Linked DNA regions of Lonchura striata. The protein of the gene in region 1 binds, or shares a complex with, the protein of each later gene. Links are inferred from orthologs where the notes say so. Each region holds a gene or a part of one and is shown on either strand. Other genes may lie near its edges.

Evidence for each region.
Region 2: the proteins of CAPZA2 (region 1) and S100A1 are in contact, whole or in part, in an NMR structure (PDB 2KBM), measured with the Rattus norvegicus proteins. The link is inferred for Lonchura striata from reciprocal best matches to the Homo sapiens genes CAPZA2 and S100A1. Residues at the interface, in NP_001009180.1 of Rattus norvegicus: Thr267, Lys268, Ile269, Asp270, Trp271, Asn272, Lys273, Ile274, Leu275, Ser276; in NP_001007637.1 of Rattus norvegicus: Ser44, Phe45, Leu46, Asp47, Lys50, Asp51, Ala54, Lys57, Ile58, Glu61, Leu78, Ala81, Leu82, Thr83, Ala85, Cys86.

What each region holds. Positions count from the first base shown.
Region 1 is NC_134607.1:34,493,603-34,502,885, reverse strand, and holds the start of CAPZA2 (F-actin-capping protein subunit alpha-2), read left to right. Parts: upstream 1-5,376; 5' UTR 5,377-6,163; coding exon 6,164-6,265; intron 6,266-9,283. UniProt on the Homo sapiens protein: F-actin-capping proteins bind in a Ca(2+)-independent manner to the fast growing ends of actin filaments (barbed end) thereby blocking the exchange of subunits at these ends.
Region 2 is NC_134635.1:3,150,114-3,159,048, reverse strand, and holds S100A1 (protein S100-A1), read left to right. Parts: upstream 1-5,404; 5' UTR 5,405-5,615; intron 5,616-7,277; 5' UTR 7,278-7,285; coding exon 7,286-7,426; intron 7,427-7,525; coding exon 7,526-7,669; 3' UTR 7,670-7,672; downstream 7,673-8,935. Other genes in the region: S100A14 (protein S100-A14), read right to left, coding at 963-995; S100A13 (protein S100-A13), read right to left, coding at 2,044-2,178, 2,330-2,509. UniProt on the Homo sapiens protein: Small calcium binding protein that plays important roles in several biological processes such as Ca(2+) homeostasis, chondrocyte biology and cardiomyocyte regulation.

The DNA.
Region 1 (9,283 bases):
AAAATGAATCTCTCGCCTCTAATGTTGTCTTTAGAGCATAATACATTGGAAGCAGATTACAGTTACGTATACAAGCCCACCAATGTGAAAGGCTCAGGTACTTTTCTCAATGCAAATATAAACCTTTTTCCTAAAACTGCTTCAAAAGCATTAGCAGAAATTTTGACAGGAAAAAAAAAAGTTACTATTCTAATTTACATGTGTTAAAGCAATTCCTGTGCTCTACATCATTCATTTTGACTTTCAGAATTGTGTTAAATAAAACTTGGAGACTGTAGATAAGTAGGAGGTGCATTTGAATAACATTTTTGGGTATAATTGCACTGTAATCTATAAAGTAAACTTTAAGTCTTGCAAGTATCCTTGATAACATTTTGATGAAATTCTTTAGTAAGAATGAGGAAGTTAGGAGTGCTTTTCAGAGACTGACATGTAATTTTTAATGTTGGAGGCCTTCCAACATTTAAGATTTTTATGTCCATCTCAGGATATACATGAAAATGTGTGTAAAGATAGTATGTTGTCTTGAGTTAGGTTTTTTTTTTTTTTAACTAAAAATACACCAATACCATTGAGATTGAAGGACAGATATTTGAATCACTTCCTTGGGAAACCATTAAACACTGTCTGAAGAAGGGATCATATATTGTATGTGTTACTGCAAATAATTACTTGGTTTGCTTCTACACTCATACTGTCTGGAAGAAATTTCTGAAGGTAACTCAAATGCTGGTTAGTCAGAATGGGCTGGCTTAGATAAGGTTGCTTAGGAACTTGCCCTTTGAGTTTTGGGTGTCTCTAGGAACTGAGACTGTACCTCTGGGTGAGGTGTTGCAAGGTTTGTCTAAGCCCACAGTCAAAAACTTAAATGCTGGTTAGTCAGAATGGGCTGGCTTAGATAAGGTTGCTTAGGAACTTGCCCTTTGAGTTTTGGGTGTCTCTAGGAACTGAGACTGTACCTCTGGGTGAGGTGTTGCAAGGTTTGTCTAAGCCCACAGTCAAAAACTTATCCTAATTTATGATTGTTGCAACTTATGTACAGTGCTGCTTGTCTTTTACCATGTACCTCCATAGTGAATTACTGTGCAAAGCAAATTGTTTGTCGTTTTGACAAGTGAAAAGTAATTACTTGCAGCTTGAATACAAATGAAACCTGTTATTATAAATAAAAGATCAGTGATTTCTAAGATTTCAGGTCATATATTTTTCCTTAGTACTAGTTTGAAGAAATCAGGTACCCTGTGGGAATTTTGACTTCTACCATGTTGAGGAGTATTGGGTATTGATAATGTAGTGGCGCCTGAGGACCATCAGGTCTCCTTCTTGCTGTCTTTGTACTCTCAAAACTTCTTGCAGAAGCTTGCTACCTAGGAAACCTCATAGCTCAAGTAGATAAGAGAAACAAATTGAAGCAAAAATAGAGTAATAGGACAAGTTATTGGCAAATACAGAGATGAAACTGGAGACATTACTTTATGATATAATAGGTATGGTTCTACCTTCTACCAATAGTCTTCAACCTGCAGTTCTGCTGTGAAATTCTATTTTCAGTTGGTTTCAATTATGGCAGTCAAAAAGGAACAGGAAAAGGGTTTTAGCTGTATTATTTAGCAAACCCATATATTTTTTACAGCCCTGTATACTATTCATTTTCAGGCTCTGGAAGTGGGATGTAAAGGAGTTTAAAGTGCTTGTTGAGAAATGAAAGCAGGCTTTTGAGCATGCAGCAATTAACTTTTTTAATCCTTGAGTAACAAATTTCTGAAATGTAAAATACTTCCAGTACTTTCTTAGCTTGACAGAAGGCATTAAAACCTTGAATAGGTAACTTAGAGAGAGAATTGTAAGACGCTGGAATTGGCAGGGGCAGACAACAGTTACAGTGGTATCATATTCTATCCATTTTCAGCAAGGTCTGTTACGTTCCTTTTCTCTCGCCACAGCTATTGAATCTGTGGGCTTAATGTCCTTGGAGTATCTCAGTGTAGGAAGAAGAATCACTTTAAAAGCTTGGGCTTTGTAGTAGAAGAATATTTTGCAAATATGGACCAAGTGCTTTTTAGCTTACGGTGGATACCACTTTGTAAAGACTGATGAGAAAGAGAGGCCTTGATGCTGCAACTGAGGATCATGTGTGTTCATGTCCGTGTAACAGGACATCTTGGATTTTTATGTGGAGATGACACTGTTGGTTTCTTTGTGAAGTCTTAGTTAGTAATTTCTTTTACCATGTACATCTCAAATAAAACTTAATGCTTCTGCTTTTCATGAAATGTAAAATTTTACTACTTTTTCAGTGAATGACAGCAAGGAAATAATTTTTTTGCAAGGAAGTAATTTTTTTTATGTTGTTTATCTGTTGTCTGTCTGGTCCATAAGCTTAAGTATGCAGTTGCTTGACTACAATTGTGTATATATATATATATAATTATAAATAGTTGTATAGAAATACATACATTATAAAAATATATATAAATAGCTGTGTATAAATATCTATATAATAAAAGGTTTCCAATTTTATATGCTTAGGAGTAATAAGAATAACTACAGAATAACATGGGGGAGATTCGTCTTCTCTTACTTTTTTATGGTTAGTCTTGTGTATTACTCAAATAACATCCTTTGCTTTCATATTCTTTTTTGCTATCTGTGGCTGACGCACCAACTTACAGGAGTTTGGGTTTTTTAAAATTTTCCTAATATGATGTGGTGTGTAAAGTGATTTTAAGATAGAGACTTTTATGATATTTAGATACTCTTCCGCTGAAAGGTCCTACAGTGAAGCATCCACCACCTTTCAAAGTGGTTATTTTTGTGAAAATAGATCTCATTATTGAAGTCAGATCATCAGGTAAGAATGAAGCTAAATTATCACACATTGTGTAAGATTTATTTTTTGCAGCACTGTGAAGGGCTGGTACCGTTACATATTCTTAAATACTTGTGTATTGAAAACATTTGGGGCAAACACATGTTCTCCAGATGCAGTGTAGCTTTAGGCATTACAGTTAAGGAAATGTCTGTTCAATCAAAGCCATAGGTATGGAATGTGCCCCTCCTTTCCTGTGCCACAGAACCACATTTTTACAGTGTTTTTCCTTAGCTCTTCTAGAAGCAGAAGTGAACTGGTTACTGCAGTGAATTTTCAGTTGAGCTTGGTAGGAAGGCAGTTGCAGCACTACATTTATATTCATTCCCTCTCTACCAGAGTCGTTGCCTTTGTTCCATGTTTATGTGAAATGATGCATGTTTTGGGATGCTGTTTTGCTGTTTGAAGTTATACCTGTGGGTATGGTGAGGTTTATGAGATACAGTGAAGGCAGTTTGCTGCTGACATGGGGTAATTACTTTCTCACAGTTTAATTCTCGGAGCTTGTCCAGCTGTTTGAAGGCTTTTTAGCCTCACTAAACTGTCAACAGCAGGAAGCAATAATAATTATTTAAAGCTCTTTTTTAGCTAAATTGGTTGTTATCTTCTTGCCACCTTCCTTTAGCTAGATCAATTTGCTTGTCTGAATACTCACAGAAATAGATGAGCACTGATGATACATAGGAGTTTGTAAAAATAGTGGTGTAACATTCTGGGAAGTATCTAACCTAAAGATTTAATGAGCAATTGGAGCCAGTACTACCGAATATCTGGCTCTCCAAAGGGGAAGCCAGTTACATTTTCTTGAAACACCAAAAGGTTTACAAAGTCAAAAACTATGTTGATGTTTGGCTACAGCACCAAACATTGTATCCTGCAAATATTTGAACCTTAGACTGTGCTCCTTGATGTGTTTTATTGTCAATGCAAAATTCATTTCGAGTGGTAGATGTCAGAGAAGTTTTGCTTTATAAGGAAAAATAAAGCTGCATATTGAAAAATAATGTTACAGCTCAAGCTGAACTCAAATCACAAGTTTGTTTGAATGAAACTCAGAACTAAGTAAAACTAGGTAAGTGTTATGTCCAGTATCACTTCAGTGAGTACAGTCTGTATCGCTTAATTTGAGTGTGACTTACAGACTTGAGAGAATACAAATTTGCCTCATTTAACTGATGTCTGTGTTAATATTTATTTATGTGACTATGAGCTAATTGTGAGAAAACCCTGTAGCTAATTTAATTGGGACAGGACAAACCCATTTGTTTAGTTGCCTGCAGACAGGTTTTTAACAAGAACTATACAGAAGGCATGACTGAGAGCAGAGCTCTCTAGTCTCTGCTAGAGAGAGATGTGATGTGATATCTCAGTATCTTTTTTTTGCCAAACACAGGTTTCTCTGAGTGGGAGATTTATTGTATGCTGTAAGATAGCTAGGGTACCCTCAGGAATCCTGAATGCAAATGCATGATATACAATGCTTTGAGCCTGCTGTAACAGTAATAAAAGTAACTTTGAGAAGCTATTTTTATTCCCCTGTGATTAACAACAAAGTTGTCTTTGAGTGGGAATTATTGTGGGAATCTTTTGCATGCCCTCTCTCTTCTTACTTTCTCTTAGGTAAAAAGGGGTTTTTAGTATCTATTTCACTATTTCATTTTTACTGCTGTGGAGCAGTGAACTTTAACCTATTAGGAGTGTAAAGGAAGGGGTGGGTCTCCCTCCTGCAACGAGTTCACAGCTGAATTTCTGAATTTGAAATAGGGGATATATAGGAAAGAATAAGGGTGAGTATATGGTTTCACAGTATCCTACTTATCAGCATGTTTTTTCTGTGCAGCATGGATGTTGATTGAAGGAGTGAGCTGTCAGGGTGCCTAACAAACAAAACTCTGAAATACCTGTCCTTCAGTTGAGTTAAAAAGGGGGAAAGAAAAATGAAAGAGGGAGAGTTTTAATGTCTCTGTTACTGTTAGATGCACCCTAGCAGAGTCCAAGGAGTGAGCTGCCTTGGCAGGGCTGACAGTGGCACTGAGAAGCCCTGCAGTGGGAACACTTCTCCTTGACCATATATAGGCACATACAGCACACAAGGTCGGGCTTCTCCAACCAGTGTCACTTCTCATGTGGCAGGAACAGGAAGAGTGATCTCGGAGCATTTGAAGCCACTATCTATAACTTCTTAAAAATAAAATAAACTTCAGAATGTCTTAGGCTGGAAAAGATAGAGTAGGATTTCTCTCATGTACCTGATGGGTATCATGCATTGAGAAAAATTAAATTGTGAAGTAAAGGCAGAAGTATGGAAAAAAATAGATTTAGAATAACTGCCACTATTCTATACATTACTACGTTGCTCTTTGCTAGGGTAGTCTGAAAACTACAAATATTGTTGTAACTGAGTGTAGGAATTTGTTGCTAGACCAACTGTTTTAATCCCTAGCAGAATAAAGAATTAGGCATAATGCCTAATATTCATCACATACATCAATCCTGTCCTTTTCTCTTTTGCTAGGCTTCTCTGTACGAATTTTTACCTTAATTGACATAGTTTACTTTATAAAATCAATATGCTTGTAGATTTGATAAACTTTTAACTGATGTAATGGGGTAGCATTTGACTTCACTTGAATTGTGGAAGTAAACCATTGGTGATCAGATGTTCTGGGTTAGTGAAGTCTGAAGTTTATAGTTCCTTGCTACTCTGAAGACCTGAAGCTGAAAACTGACTCAAATCTACATCAATAAAACACTATCTTAAACTTTAGGTAGTGTTTTGGGAGTAACTACAGTAATAAGTGGAGAAACTTCAGGTGTTTTATGTCTTCGAGTTTTCTAAAGGAAGACTCAACTGTAGCAATTTTTTGTTACTTGCTGATACATACCTAAGTTTCTTGTACTATGTGTAAGGGTGAAGTACTCTTGAATGGAAAAACGTTTTGTCGTTTGGATTCTTAAGATATTATGATGTTTCTGTTTTGGCTTGCTCAAATCAATTTTTAGACACCTCGGCGCATTGAATAATCAGCATTGGTTGTAAATGCACCTGATCGGTTTTCTTAAAATTATTTTCAGCAGATACAACTTCCTATCTCAGTTTGACTAAAGAGCAGTTTAACTTTTTGCTTGTCACTTTATATTACAGGTTATGTGCATTTTTAATTTATCTTTTTTTAGTTGCCTGTGAACATCATATTTTATACAGAGTGCCCCTTTGTTTTAATTGTGCTTTCCCAAGTGATAGCTGAGGCTTTTTGCTGCCAAAAGGGGGAGATCTTAATCTCATAGAGGCTTATGGAGGTACATTCATTTATCCTTCAGTATCAGTCTGGGTTTGAAAAACAGAAGCCTCCTTTAGAGCATTTATTTCTGCAAAAATTCAGTGGCAATATATCTGTAACTGCTTTTCAATTCTAATGTGTTAAGTGAGACTACTGGATTTAATTCTTTTATATGGGCTTTCTGTATGTATGAATTGGGGAAATAATGGCTTTATCAGATACTCATCACAGAGAAGTTAATTCAGTTTAACTGCTGAAGGAAAATGGGATTACTTTTAAATTGGCTTTACAAAGGCAGGTTAGCAAAATACAGTGTCTTAGCTGATACACTCTCAACTTCTGAAAACACATTAGATTTTTTTGCTTTTGTAAACATGAATATACTTTATACTTGATGAGGTATTCATTGCAAATGTGCATGATTGTCTATCTGTTCTATAAAATGTTTCATCTATGATGAATTTTCACACAAAAAACTATCAGTGAGAAATTTAATTTACTTGTAAAATGTTTGTAAAAAGTAATGTCTAGGTTGGTCTGTCGTGAGGACATCTGAATGCTTTTGAATTAATATTACTTATAGTGTAGCTAATTTTATAAGAATCGTTTTTACTGATAGTGAAAAAAATAAGCAAAACCAGATCTATATTACCAAAACAGCTGAAAATGAGGTAGTGCTCCAGTTTTAGTATAGACCCAATGTCTCACCTTACAGGTGTTACCAGTTTAAAGCATGTGGCCATTCAGGGTGCAGTTTGGGCACCCATGTTTTGCTTAATTTTGCTTCTATAGCTGCTGCCTGCCTAAAACTTATGGACCTGTTATTTCACAACTCCAGATGTCTATAAGTCTTGTTTCTCTGCTTGCCCAGAGCTAACCTGGCCTTGGCAGGGGTAAGCAGTCCTGTTCACATGAAGTCAATGAATCAAGAAATGCTGTTCCTTCATCTTGAGCTGGGAGTCAGCCCACTGATAGTCATGCTGAAATCACACAACTAAATACTCGCTTTTCAGGGCTGATCCAGGACCCTATTAATTGGTGTAATGGTTTAACCCCAGGCATGCCACTAAGCCCCACACAGCCACTCAGTCAGTGCCCCACCAGTGGGATTGGGGAGAGAATTGGAAGGGTAAAAGTAGGAAAACTCATGGGTTGAGGTAAATATAATTTAAGAAGGAAAGCAAAAGTTGTGCATGCAAGCAAAGCTAAATAGGGAATTAATTCAGTATTTCCCATGGGCAGGCAGCTATTCAGCCATCTGTAGGAGAACAGAGTCCCCCATAACATGTAATGGTGACTTGGGAAGTCAAATGTCATCACTCCAAAAATCTCCCACCCTTCCTCCTTCTTCCCCCACTTTATATACTGGGTATGATTTGGTGTGGTGTGGAATATCCCTTGGTCAGTCAGGGTCACCTGCTCTGGCTGTGTGTCCTCCCAGTCTCCCACACACCCCCAGCTTCCTTGCCAGTGTGTCAGTATGAACAGCAGAAAAGGCCTTGGCTGTGTAAGCCCTGCTCAGCAGCAGCACAAACAGCTGTGATCAACACTGTGTTCAGCACAAATCCAAAACACAGTCTTCTACCAGCAACTGTTACGAGAATTAGTTCTGCCCCAACCAAAAGCAGCATTATTGGTCATTTGATAAAATGCACTGGTGATAGAACCTTGGAGCCTGTCTTACCCTTGTTCTTTGTAAGTGCTTTAATAATATATAGGTTAGCTTTGTTTTGCATTCTTTATATTGCTTTGGCTTGAGCATTGAGCTGTGTGTGGTGCCTTGACTTCAGCAAGAGGTACCAGGAGTGTGGGGATTGGTGATTAAGATAATGTGTGTAACGCAGATAAGTTTGCATTCTTCTAATTCAAAGGAGCTGATCTAAGTTGCTTTAATAAGCAGCCATAGAAGAAGGTCCTCTTGCCTCTCTGTGTCTTTTTTGAAGAGTGAACTTTGTGGCATTTATCTCAGTATAATGCAAATTCATGTTTACATGGAAGAGGAGTTGGTAGGAGTAAAGAGGAGATGGTAGGTACTTGAGGAAGCAGACAAATGCTGCCTGCAATCCAAAATGCAACATTTAGGTTAGAAAGTTGGGAACTGACAACTTTTCCATTATCCAGCTCTGAATAGTTGTGTTCTGTTAATGATCTGAAAGCTGCCTGGGCTGGTCACTTGGGATCTCATGAAGGTTCAACACTGCCAATGAGGCAGCTAAGTGCTCTCCCAGGACATTTTAACTTGAACCACCTCTCCTGGAGACCCTTGTCTGAAATCTGGGCCATGTCAAGAAGCAGGGGCCCAAACAGTGACTATATTGCTACCCTCAGTTGTGAAAGCTGTTTTCTTGTCAGTTCAAGAGCTCTAGCATGCTCAGAGAATTTCTTTTGTAGTTTCAAATGCAAAGAAATGTGTAAATGTGTTCTTTGGTTATTTTTAGATATTTTTCATTAAATGCGTGCTTCTTAAACACCCTAATTTCAAACAGTGCTCCCAAGCACTAAATCTTCCAGCTTTTCATTCCATAGATACATCATAGAAGTTGTTGGAAAGGGAAACTCTGGTAGTATCCTGTATTTGAATAATGACACCATATTGAGGATGCAAGAGAGCTTTAAGTGTCTGGTGAACTTGGATAATTGTAAAGGATAGGAATTTTTGCCAAATTAAGTTAGGGAACCAATATTTAGTTTGTTTTTATAATGGGTGCCTTTAACAGTTCAAGGAGGAAAAAGATTGAATCAAAGTGACATTCTGCAAGTAAGGTAATAGTTGAGAAGTTTAAGGGTTGTTTCACATTTTAAAAGTATTTTTGTGGGTTTTTTGCAAGCACATGTGTGGAGCTGTGTAGTGAACCAGCTCAGGGACCTGAGCAATAACTTACCTGATTTTGCTCATTGTGCTGTTGTACAAGGGCTTGTGCAAGCAGGAGAGAGGAAGCCAGGACAGGTGTGCCTACTTTCAGTGAAAATAGTGGCTTATGCCATGTTTGCTCTGCAAGAAGTTGTGGCTGAAGGCCATTAATTACTAATTAAGATCTCAAGAGTTTTTTTAAGCTTTATCTGCTGGTACTGTGGTACTAAGAGGTCCTAGGTAGATGCAGGTGAAATTATGAGCTTTAGTGTCTACGCAGTG
Region 2 (8,935 bases), on another chromosome or scaffold:
CGTCCAGCTGTGACACCTCCCCATCCAGCTGTGAGCCCCCCTGCCCTCTGTCCCCACACATCTGCACCCAGATGTGAGACCGTACAGATGTTTTGCCCCACATCCAGCTGTCGCACCCCTCCGCAGCGGCTCTGCCCGGCTGTGACAGCCCCTCCAGCTGCCACCGCCTGTCCCCCCGAGCTGTCACCCCCCAGACGCGCTGTCCCCGCCCGGGGCCGCCAGGCTCAGCCACCCCGGCGTCTGTCGCCACCCCCGGCGCGGGCCCGTCCCGACTGGTTCTTCCTCTCCTCCGCACGGGTGGCGGTGGCAGCGTGAGTCAGTGCCCGCCGTGCCGCCGGCCTGGGGCTCCCGGAGCCCCTCTGCCACCCCCAGAGCCCGTGCCCGACGGGGCGGGGGGCGCAGAGCAGCCCGACCCCGCTCCCGGTAGCTCCCGGCCGCTCCCGGTAGCTCCCGGCCGCTCGTGCGGCTCCGTTTAAGGGAAAAGACGGTGATTCACTCAAATCTGCGGCTTCCCCTCGGAACGCCGTGCAACCACAGCCGGTGATGCCCACTGGGCAGAGCCTGGCAACCTCCAGAGCCTCAGCCCGGCGCCCCAAATCCTCCACAGGTGCCAGGCGCGGCGCGGTGGGCGCGTCCCGTTTGGAAGCCGAGGAGAGCAGGAGCTCGGCCGCCTTCGGGCATCCTCGGAGGGGCTGCGAGGAGCGCGGGCGGCTGCCCAAGGTCCATCCGCGGGAGCAGACGGAGCTCCTGCTTCCCCGGGCTTCCAAGCGGCTCCGCAGCGGCCGTGCCCGGCGCTGCCGAACCCCAGAGCTGCCGAACCCCGGCTCCTCCGGGGCGCCCCGATTGACGCCGCGCCCCGCGCCCCGGGGCCGTGCGGGGTCACCCCCGCCCCGCCGGGGGTCCCGGTGCCGCGGTGTCCCCGGTGCCGCGGTGTTCCCGGTGCCGCGGCGTCCCCGCCGCACCTTGCGCTTCTTGCGGCAGTTGCACTGGCCCATCCTGCTGCTCGCGGCTCCTCGGGGGTCTCTCCCTCTCTCTCCGGGGGTCTCTCCTCTGCCGCGGGGTCCGGGGGAGCTGGCGGGGCAAGGAAGCCAAGCTCAGCTCTCGGCTCGGGGGGAGCTTCGCCTCCTCCAGCGCCAGGACTCCTCCTCATCCCCGAGCGGAGGGCGAGGAGGGAGCCCCGGGATGCGGCGCCGGAGCTGCCGGGACACGTCCCCGGCGTCCTCGCAAGTCGTGGCAGGGCCGAGCGTGGGAGCGGAGGGGCCCGCGGGGGGAGCAGCCCCCCGTGCCGTGGGGCGGCCGGGCCACTTACCTGCAGCACGGCTGTCCCGGGTGTGCGCGGGCTGCGGCGGGCCGGGGTTTTATACCGGGGAGGTGTGAGTGGGAGCTCCGTGGTGCAAGGCGTCTCATTTGGGAGCCTGGCCCGGCGCCAGCGTGGGGCCGGGAAACGCCTCCTTCCCGGCCACACTGACGGTTCCCCATCCGAGCGGGCCGTGGGAACGGCACCGGGCCCGGCTGCTCGCCCAGAGCGGGATTCCAGCAGCCAGCAGCGCCGGGATTCGGGAGCTGAGCGCTGCGAGCGGGGACATTCCCCGGCCGGGATGCGCTGGTGGATGTGTCACCCCCCGCCACCCAAGACCCTGCAGAGGACGGCGCTGATGCCACGGAGCTGGCGGCCACCGTGGCCAGCGCGGCATCGCTGCCGGGGATCTCCCGAGCCCCACCCCGGCCACAGCCACGGCTCTGCCCCCCACGCACCCCCCAGCGTGGCAGGAAGGTGTTTGTGGGGCGCAGGGTGGCACCCCAAAAGCCAGACCAGCGCAAGGGCAATTTGGGAATGGCCCCGTCCATCCCGGGGTGCCCAGAGCCACGGAGTGACCCCAAGCCAGCACGCCTGGGCTGGGCCGGCCCCAGCGTGGCCACCACGGGGGAGGAGGAGATGGGGGCTCAAATCAGGAGCCCCCCACCAAGAACAGCAGCGATGCTCAGGCTCAGGGAAACCTCTTTTATTTGCCGCACGTCGGCCGAGTCCCCGCAGCGGCCCCGTCACTTCTTCCCCGCTTTGTCCCTCCGCACGGCCTTGGCCAGCTCCCCGATCAGCCGCCAGTACTCCCCAAATCTCAGCTCCTCGTCGTTGTTCACGTCCAGCTCGCTCATCTTCTCCTCCAGCGAGGGCACGTCCTGCGGGCAGCACCCGCCAGGGAGGCTCGGCCGCTCGCCAGCCCCCAGAGAGCGGGACGGGCACGACTGCAAACCCCCGGGGCACCGGGAGCAGCCCCACGGGTCAGGGGGACCCCCGGGGACCCCGCGCTGCTGCTGCGGCTCCCCTCACCTTCATCAGGTTGGGCAGCTGGAGCCGCACCAGCTCCTTGAACTCGCCGGCCGTCAGCGTCCCCTTCCTGCCCTCCTTGGCGGCGAAGGTGACGAACACGGTGACGATGCGCTCGATGGCCGCCTCCAGCTCGGTCAGCTCGCTCGGCTCGCTCGGCTCGGGCAGCTCGGCCGCGGCCATGGCACCGGACACGCCGCTAGCCCGGGGCTGCAGGGACAGGAGCCCAGAGGCGGTGGGAGGCAGAGGGGTGTCCCAAGGGGAGACCCTCGCCCCCTCCCCAGCCCAGCGAAGGCTCAGCTCAGCCCCGAGGGTCCCGGGGCTTGTGCAGGACTCGGCGAGGGGCAGCGGGTCCCGGGGATGACGCCGCTGCCGCCCGATCCCGGAGCGGGGACACGGGGAGGGGACAGCGGGACATCAGCGGTCCCCAGCGGCGCGGCCGCGGCCGGGGTGCGGCCGGAGCTGCGGAGAGCGATGCCCACTTACCCCCTGGCTGCGGGCAGCTGGTGGCCCCCGGGAGGTTTCGAGGGGTTCGGGAGGTCTGGGGCGTTCTCAGGAGGTTTTATAGCCGCGCCGCAGGAGGGGACAGTGGGGACAGCGCAGCCTTTGTCCCCCCCGCGCCGGTGTTGGGTTTCCTGGCGCGGCCGGACGGACGCGCAGTCACCGCCCGGGCGCCGCCGTCCGTCCGTCCGTCCGTCCGTCCGTCCCGCCGTCCTCTGCTCCCTCCCCGCCCGGGCACAGGACCAAGCTCGGCCTGAGCTCGCTGCGGCCTCGGCCCGGGCACCTCCGGTGGGGACAGGAGGGGACCGCGGGCAGAGAACGGCCCCGGGGCTGGAGCATCACCGCGACCTTGCACAGAAACACCCCCGGGATCGTTTTGGTTGGAAAAGACCCCCGAGATGATTGAATCCAAACTTTGAGCCCCGTTCCGGGGGTGCAGGGCAGGTGTCACCCCCAGCTCCCTCCCTGCAGGGCTGGGGACAAGGAGGTGTCCCCGGAGCCCCGGTCACATTCCGGTGACATCCCTGTCACATCCCGGCTCCGGCAGCGTCACCGAGCCAGGGCCCGGCTCGGCCCGCACCGAGTGAGAGTTGTGACTCAGCCGCCTGTGACATCATCCCTATTAATAGTGGGCTCTGTAAAAATTAATTAATCCCAATTAATTAGGGTGTTGGAATGGCCCGAGTGCTCCCCTTTAGTTAGTGGCTGTTTCTAACATGGCTGGGGACACCGAGCAGCTCCCGGGGGCACCCCCCTTCCCACGGGGACCCCAAGGGGACCCCGGACACAGCCTCAGGACTGTCCCCGACGTCCCCAGCCTCACCCACGGCTGTGACAAACAGCAAGGCTGCAGCCAGCAGCCCCCCGGGGCAGCACGCGGGAATTTGGGGTGCCAAAGCCCCCGCGGTGTTTTGGGGGCCGAGGGCACGGGGGTCCCCGGCACAGCGTCACCGTCACCGGCCCGGTCTGTGCCGAGCCCTGAGGCAGCAGTAGGGATGGGGTGGCCCTGTCCCCACCCCGCAGCCGTCACACCAGCTCACGGGGCAGGAATTGGCTTCCTGCAGCCCCATCCGGCCCCGGGGTGACCGGGGGACGGGGCTGGGATGTTCACCGAGCCCCACGTCAGGGCCCGGGATGGCCTCTTGGGAAAGCGGCAGGTGAGTCAGGCCCGGCAGGGACCGGGACAGGTTTGGGGTGAATCACCGGCCCCGCAGCCAGGCGGGCCCGTGACTCCCTGGCCCTGGAATTCGGGGAGCCGGGATGGGGTGAGGAAGGGGCAGATGCAGCCGTGGCCCCACAGCAGGAGGGACACGGGAAAGGCACCCCCAGGTCTTTAATCAGCCTGGGATCCCCGTTGGGACCGGCCCCATGGGCAGGGGTGCGGACCCGGCCTCGGGGACCCCAGCATGGCGAGGAGGGACCATGGAGGGGCTGAGAGTGGGAGCAGAGAGGGACTGGGACCATAACGGGGCTGAGAGTGGGAGCAGAGAGGGACTGGGACCATAACGGGGCTGAGAGTGGGAGCAGAGAGGGACTGGGACCATAACGGGGCTGAGAGTGGGAGCAGAGAGGAACTGGGACCATAACGGGGCTGAGAGTGGGAGCAGAGAGGGACTGGGACCATAACGGGGCTGAGAGTGGGAGCAGAGAGGGACTGGGACCATAACGGGGCTGAGAGTGGGAGCAGAGAGGGACTGGGACCATAACGGGGCTGAGAGTGGGAGCAGAGAGGGACTGGGACCATGGAGGGACTGAGGCCATGTAGGGACAGCGATGGGGGCCATATAGGGTCAGGGACCGTGTGGGAACTTGGACCATATAGGGACAGGACCATATAGGGACTTGGGCCATATAGGGACAGGACTTGGGCCATATAAGGACAGGATCATATAGGAACTCGAGCCATACAGGGTCAGGGACAGAACCATATAAGGACTTGGGCCATATAGGGACAGGAATGGGATCGTACAGGGACTTGGGCTATACAGGAATAGGAATGGGATCATTCGGGACTCGGGCCATATAGGACCACAGGACCCCGTGTGACAGGGTGACCATGTGCAGGGGCTCAGTGTCCACTTCCACATCCTGGTCCTGGGGTTCTCCACAGCCGGTGTGGCCCCACCAGGGATGGTGACCGTGTCCAGCGCGGTGCCCAGCCCGGCAGTGGCCCCTGCTGGCCCCATCGGGGCTCGCTGCAGGGACCCAGGGGCCGCGGCAGGAGCCCGGAGCCACCGCGGGGTCCCCAGCGCGGCCACCGCAGCTCCTCCCTCTCCAAAGCCTCTTCCAGAGCCCCGGCGATGGGATGGGGAGACAAGATGGGCCCAGCCCAGCACCGGGAACTGGAGCGACTGGTTTAGCTGGGTCAAAGTGGAGCAGGGGAGTCGCAGTGGCTGAAACCTGTTCCAAGCTGTGTGTAAAGCTCCTGGCATGTCCCTCACTGCTCCCGCTTCCCAGAGCTCGTCCTGGGAATCTGCCAGCCGTGCTGGGCGCGCTCTGCCCCGGCCGCAGGGTCCGGGACCCCCCGGGACCCCTCGGGACCCCCCCAGTGCTGGGGTTCGCCCTGGGGCTGCTGTCCCGAAGGGTTTGGGGGTCCCGCTGTCCCTCGGACACTGCGGCCGTGCCGCTGCCCGCAGTCCTGGCCCTGTCCCCTCTGTCCCCTGGCAGGGACCGGGGTCGGGGTTATTTTTGGGCAATGCCCGTCCCTGTCACGAGCAGCTGCTGGCCCGGTGACTCTCCCGGGCGTTCCCGGAATCCTGCCCGCCGCTCGGGGACCGGGACACGGCGAGTGAGTGCCACGGGCCCCTCCCAGTGCCCCCATGCCCAGCCTCGGGATTTGGGGATCCGGCCCCTCCCGGAGCCCCAGGGATGGAGCCGGGTCCTGCTGGGAGGCAGCTCCTGAGCCGCCCTTTGGGATCCCTGCTCCTCTCTGGAACTCGCAATTCCAGCTGGGACCCCTCCTCTGCTTGGGGACCCCCCAGTTTCCCCATTCCCTGGGCGCTGGGGAGGGTGCCCAGGCAGTTTTGGGGTGCCCAGGCAGGGCCCATCCTCAGCCGCAGGGACGGGAAGTGAGGGAGGTGGAAGCAGAGGCAACAGGATGTAATTAGCCCCAAATTAGGGCTGGAACCCGGCATGAGGAGCCCGGCACCACCCGGCCCTGCTGAAAATGCAGCTCCTGTTTGAGGGGGTCCCAATCCTGAGGGAGGCTGAGGGATCTGGGGGCTGAAGCACTTGGGGTTGAGGAATTGGGGTGATCAGGAATCTGGGGGATCAGGAATTCGGGGGATCAGGAATTTGGGGACTGAAGCATTTGGGGGCTGAGGAATTTGGGGGCTGAAGCATTTGAGGGATCAGGAATTTGGGGGATCAGGAATTTGAGGGCTGAGGAATTCGGGGGCTGAGGAATTCGGGAGCTGATCTCCCCGGGGATGCCGGAGCCGGGCAGGCTGCGGGCTCCATCCCGCGCGGATCCGGGGCCGTAACGGGATCCGCGGATTATCAGCATCACCCGGGCCGGCTCGGAGTCCGGTTTCCTGGCCGAGGCGTTGCTGCAGCAACGCCGGGCTCGGGATTGTGGGGCCTTTTCAGCCGGACAAGAGTCCTTTGAGCGCGGGGGGCCCCCGCGGAGTCACCCGATAGCCCCCGCCGCTCCCCCCGGGCCCCGCCGGCCCCGCGGCCGCTCCGAGGACACCGGATCCCTTCATCGGCCCCGGGAGCGGGGCTGGCCGCGGCCCCGGCCCCGCGGCGCTGACGGACGGGGGATGCCGGCGGTGCCCCCGCGGGGTCACGGCGTGGCCACCGCGGCCACCGGCGGGGGCGCCGGGCACTGAGCCCGGCGGGGGACCCCGGTGCCCGTGCCGGTGCCCGTGCCGGTGCCGGTGCCGGTGCCAGTGCCCGTGCCCGTGCCCATGCCGGTGCCGGTGCCGGTGCCCGTGCCGGTGCCCGTGCCCATGCCGGTGCCCGTGCCGGTGCCCGTGCCGGTGCCCGTGCCCGTGCCGGTGCCCGTGCCCGTGCCGGCCCTCCCTACATCCCCGGTTTTTCCACATCCCGGGGGCGGCGAGGGGCGCTCGGGGGTGGCACGGGGAGCCCCCCTGAAGTGGGGCTGTCTCCCCAGCCGTGTCCCCGGGGCCAGGCCGGGGTTGTGCCCCCCACGCCCGGCCCCGCGGGGCTGGCCGGCGGTGCCAGCCGGGCTGCCCAGCCCCGGTATCGGATCCTCCCGGAGGGAGGGGGCTTGGAGCTTATTTAACGGGCCCGGCCGGGCCGGGCGGGCGCACTCGGAGCACGGGGAGCTCAGGTGAGCACAGGTGTCCCCGTCCCCCCCAAACCTCCCCGCCCAGCCCCTGGGAACCCCCCCAGTCCTGCCCAGGGGGACCGCGGCCGCGGGTGGGTGACATGTGGGGGTGGCACCGAGACGGGGGGGCCGGTGGGTGACGTGCTGGGGGTCCCGCAGCCACAGCCATGGGATCGCAGCTGGAAGGGGCCATGGAGACCCTGATCAATGTGTTCCACCACTACTCGGGCAAGGAGGGGGACAAGTACAAGCTGAGCAAGAAGGAGCTCAAGGAGCTGCTGCAGAGCGAGCTGGGATGTTTCCTGGAGGTAACTGGGACCAGTTTGGGGTGCGGGGGTCTCCCTTTCCCCGTTCCCCGGGGGAACAGCGGCTGCCCAGCCCCAGGGCTCACCCTGTGTCCCCCCCAGACCCAGAAGGACGCGGGGGCCGTGGAGAAGATCATGCAGGACCTGGATGAGAACGGCGACGGGGAGGTGGATTTCCAGGAATTTGTGGTCCTGGTGGCCGCTCTGACCGTGGCCTGCAACAACTTCTTCTGGGAGAACGCCTGACCCCCCTCCTGCCGCAGCAGGACGTGGGCTCCCAAAATCCAGAGCCCCCCCGCCACCCTCCGGCTCACCCCCTCAGCATTCCCAGGGGATCCCACTGGGATCCAGCTGCACAATAAAGGCACAACCCTGCCCGAGGTGTGTCCGTGTGCGTCAGCTCCTTCCTTCATTCCTGCTCGGGATTCCTGCCCCATCCCCTGGGAATATCCCACTCTGGGCGCACAGGGAAAAGCCAGCCTGGGTCACCCCAGAAGCCTGGAGACAGCCCTGGCTCCACCCCAGGATCCACCCTGGGATCCACCCGGGATCCACCCTGGGATTCACCCTGGGATCCGCCCCGACCGCCCGGGGCAGGGTGACCCCAGGGCGGGGGATCCCGGCCGGTGTCAGGGTGTGGGACACGGGAGCCCCGGGATTTGGGAAGGGGGTGACAGGCCGGGACTCGCTGCCGGTGGCTCCGGAGGCGCCAGCACTGCTCCCGCGGGGCTGGAGGAACCGGTTGGGATCTCCCAGCCCACTGGGATGGGACGGTGGCCAAGGGCCCCACCAGGGCCACCAGCGCCATCATCTGCCCGCCATCCCGGCTTGGGATCGGCCCTGCCTGGGTGGGATGGACATCGGGACAGGGGCACGGGACAGGGGTCAAGGAGCAGCTGGGCAGTGCTCCCAGGGACATGGTGGGACACCAGGAGTGTCATGGGCAGGGGACTCCACGGTCCTTACAGACCCCTTCCAACTCCGCAACTCCCTAACGCCTGGATCCTATATGATTCCACAGCTGAGCATTTTGTGATTCCATAATTCCAAGATTCCATGGAGCTGACAGAGGAGCTGATAAAGCTGACACAATTCCGTGGGACGTGGGGATCCCAGCACCGCGTGACTCCGTGACTCCACAGCTCCATGACTCCACGGTTCCTTGACCCCCCTGACTCCCTCATCCCACGGTTCCATGACGGTTCCATGACGGTTCCATGACGGTTTCATGACGTTTCCATGACGTGACCATGACGACACCGCTCTCTATGACGTCACGGGGACTCCACCCCTACTCCCGCCAGAACGTTCCCGCCTCTCCCTCAGCCCCGCCCCTTTCCCCGCCCCCTCCGCCGCTCCACCAATCACCGCCCGGCCCGGGGGGGCTCGCGCGGCGGTGGGCGTGGCCGGGAGCGCGGCCGCCATTTCGGCGGGGGCGGGAGCGGCGCCGGCGCCATTTTGTCGCGGGCGGCTGAGGGAGAAGCGGCAGCGGCGGCGGCGGGCGGAGCTCAG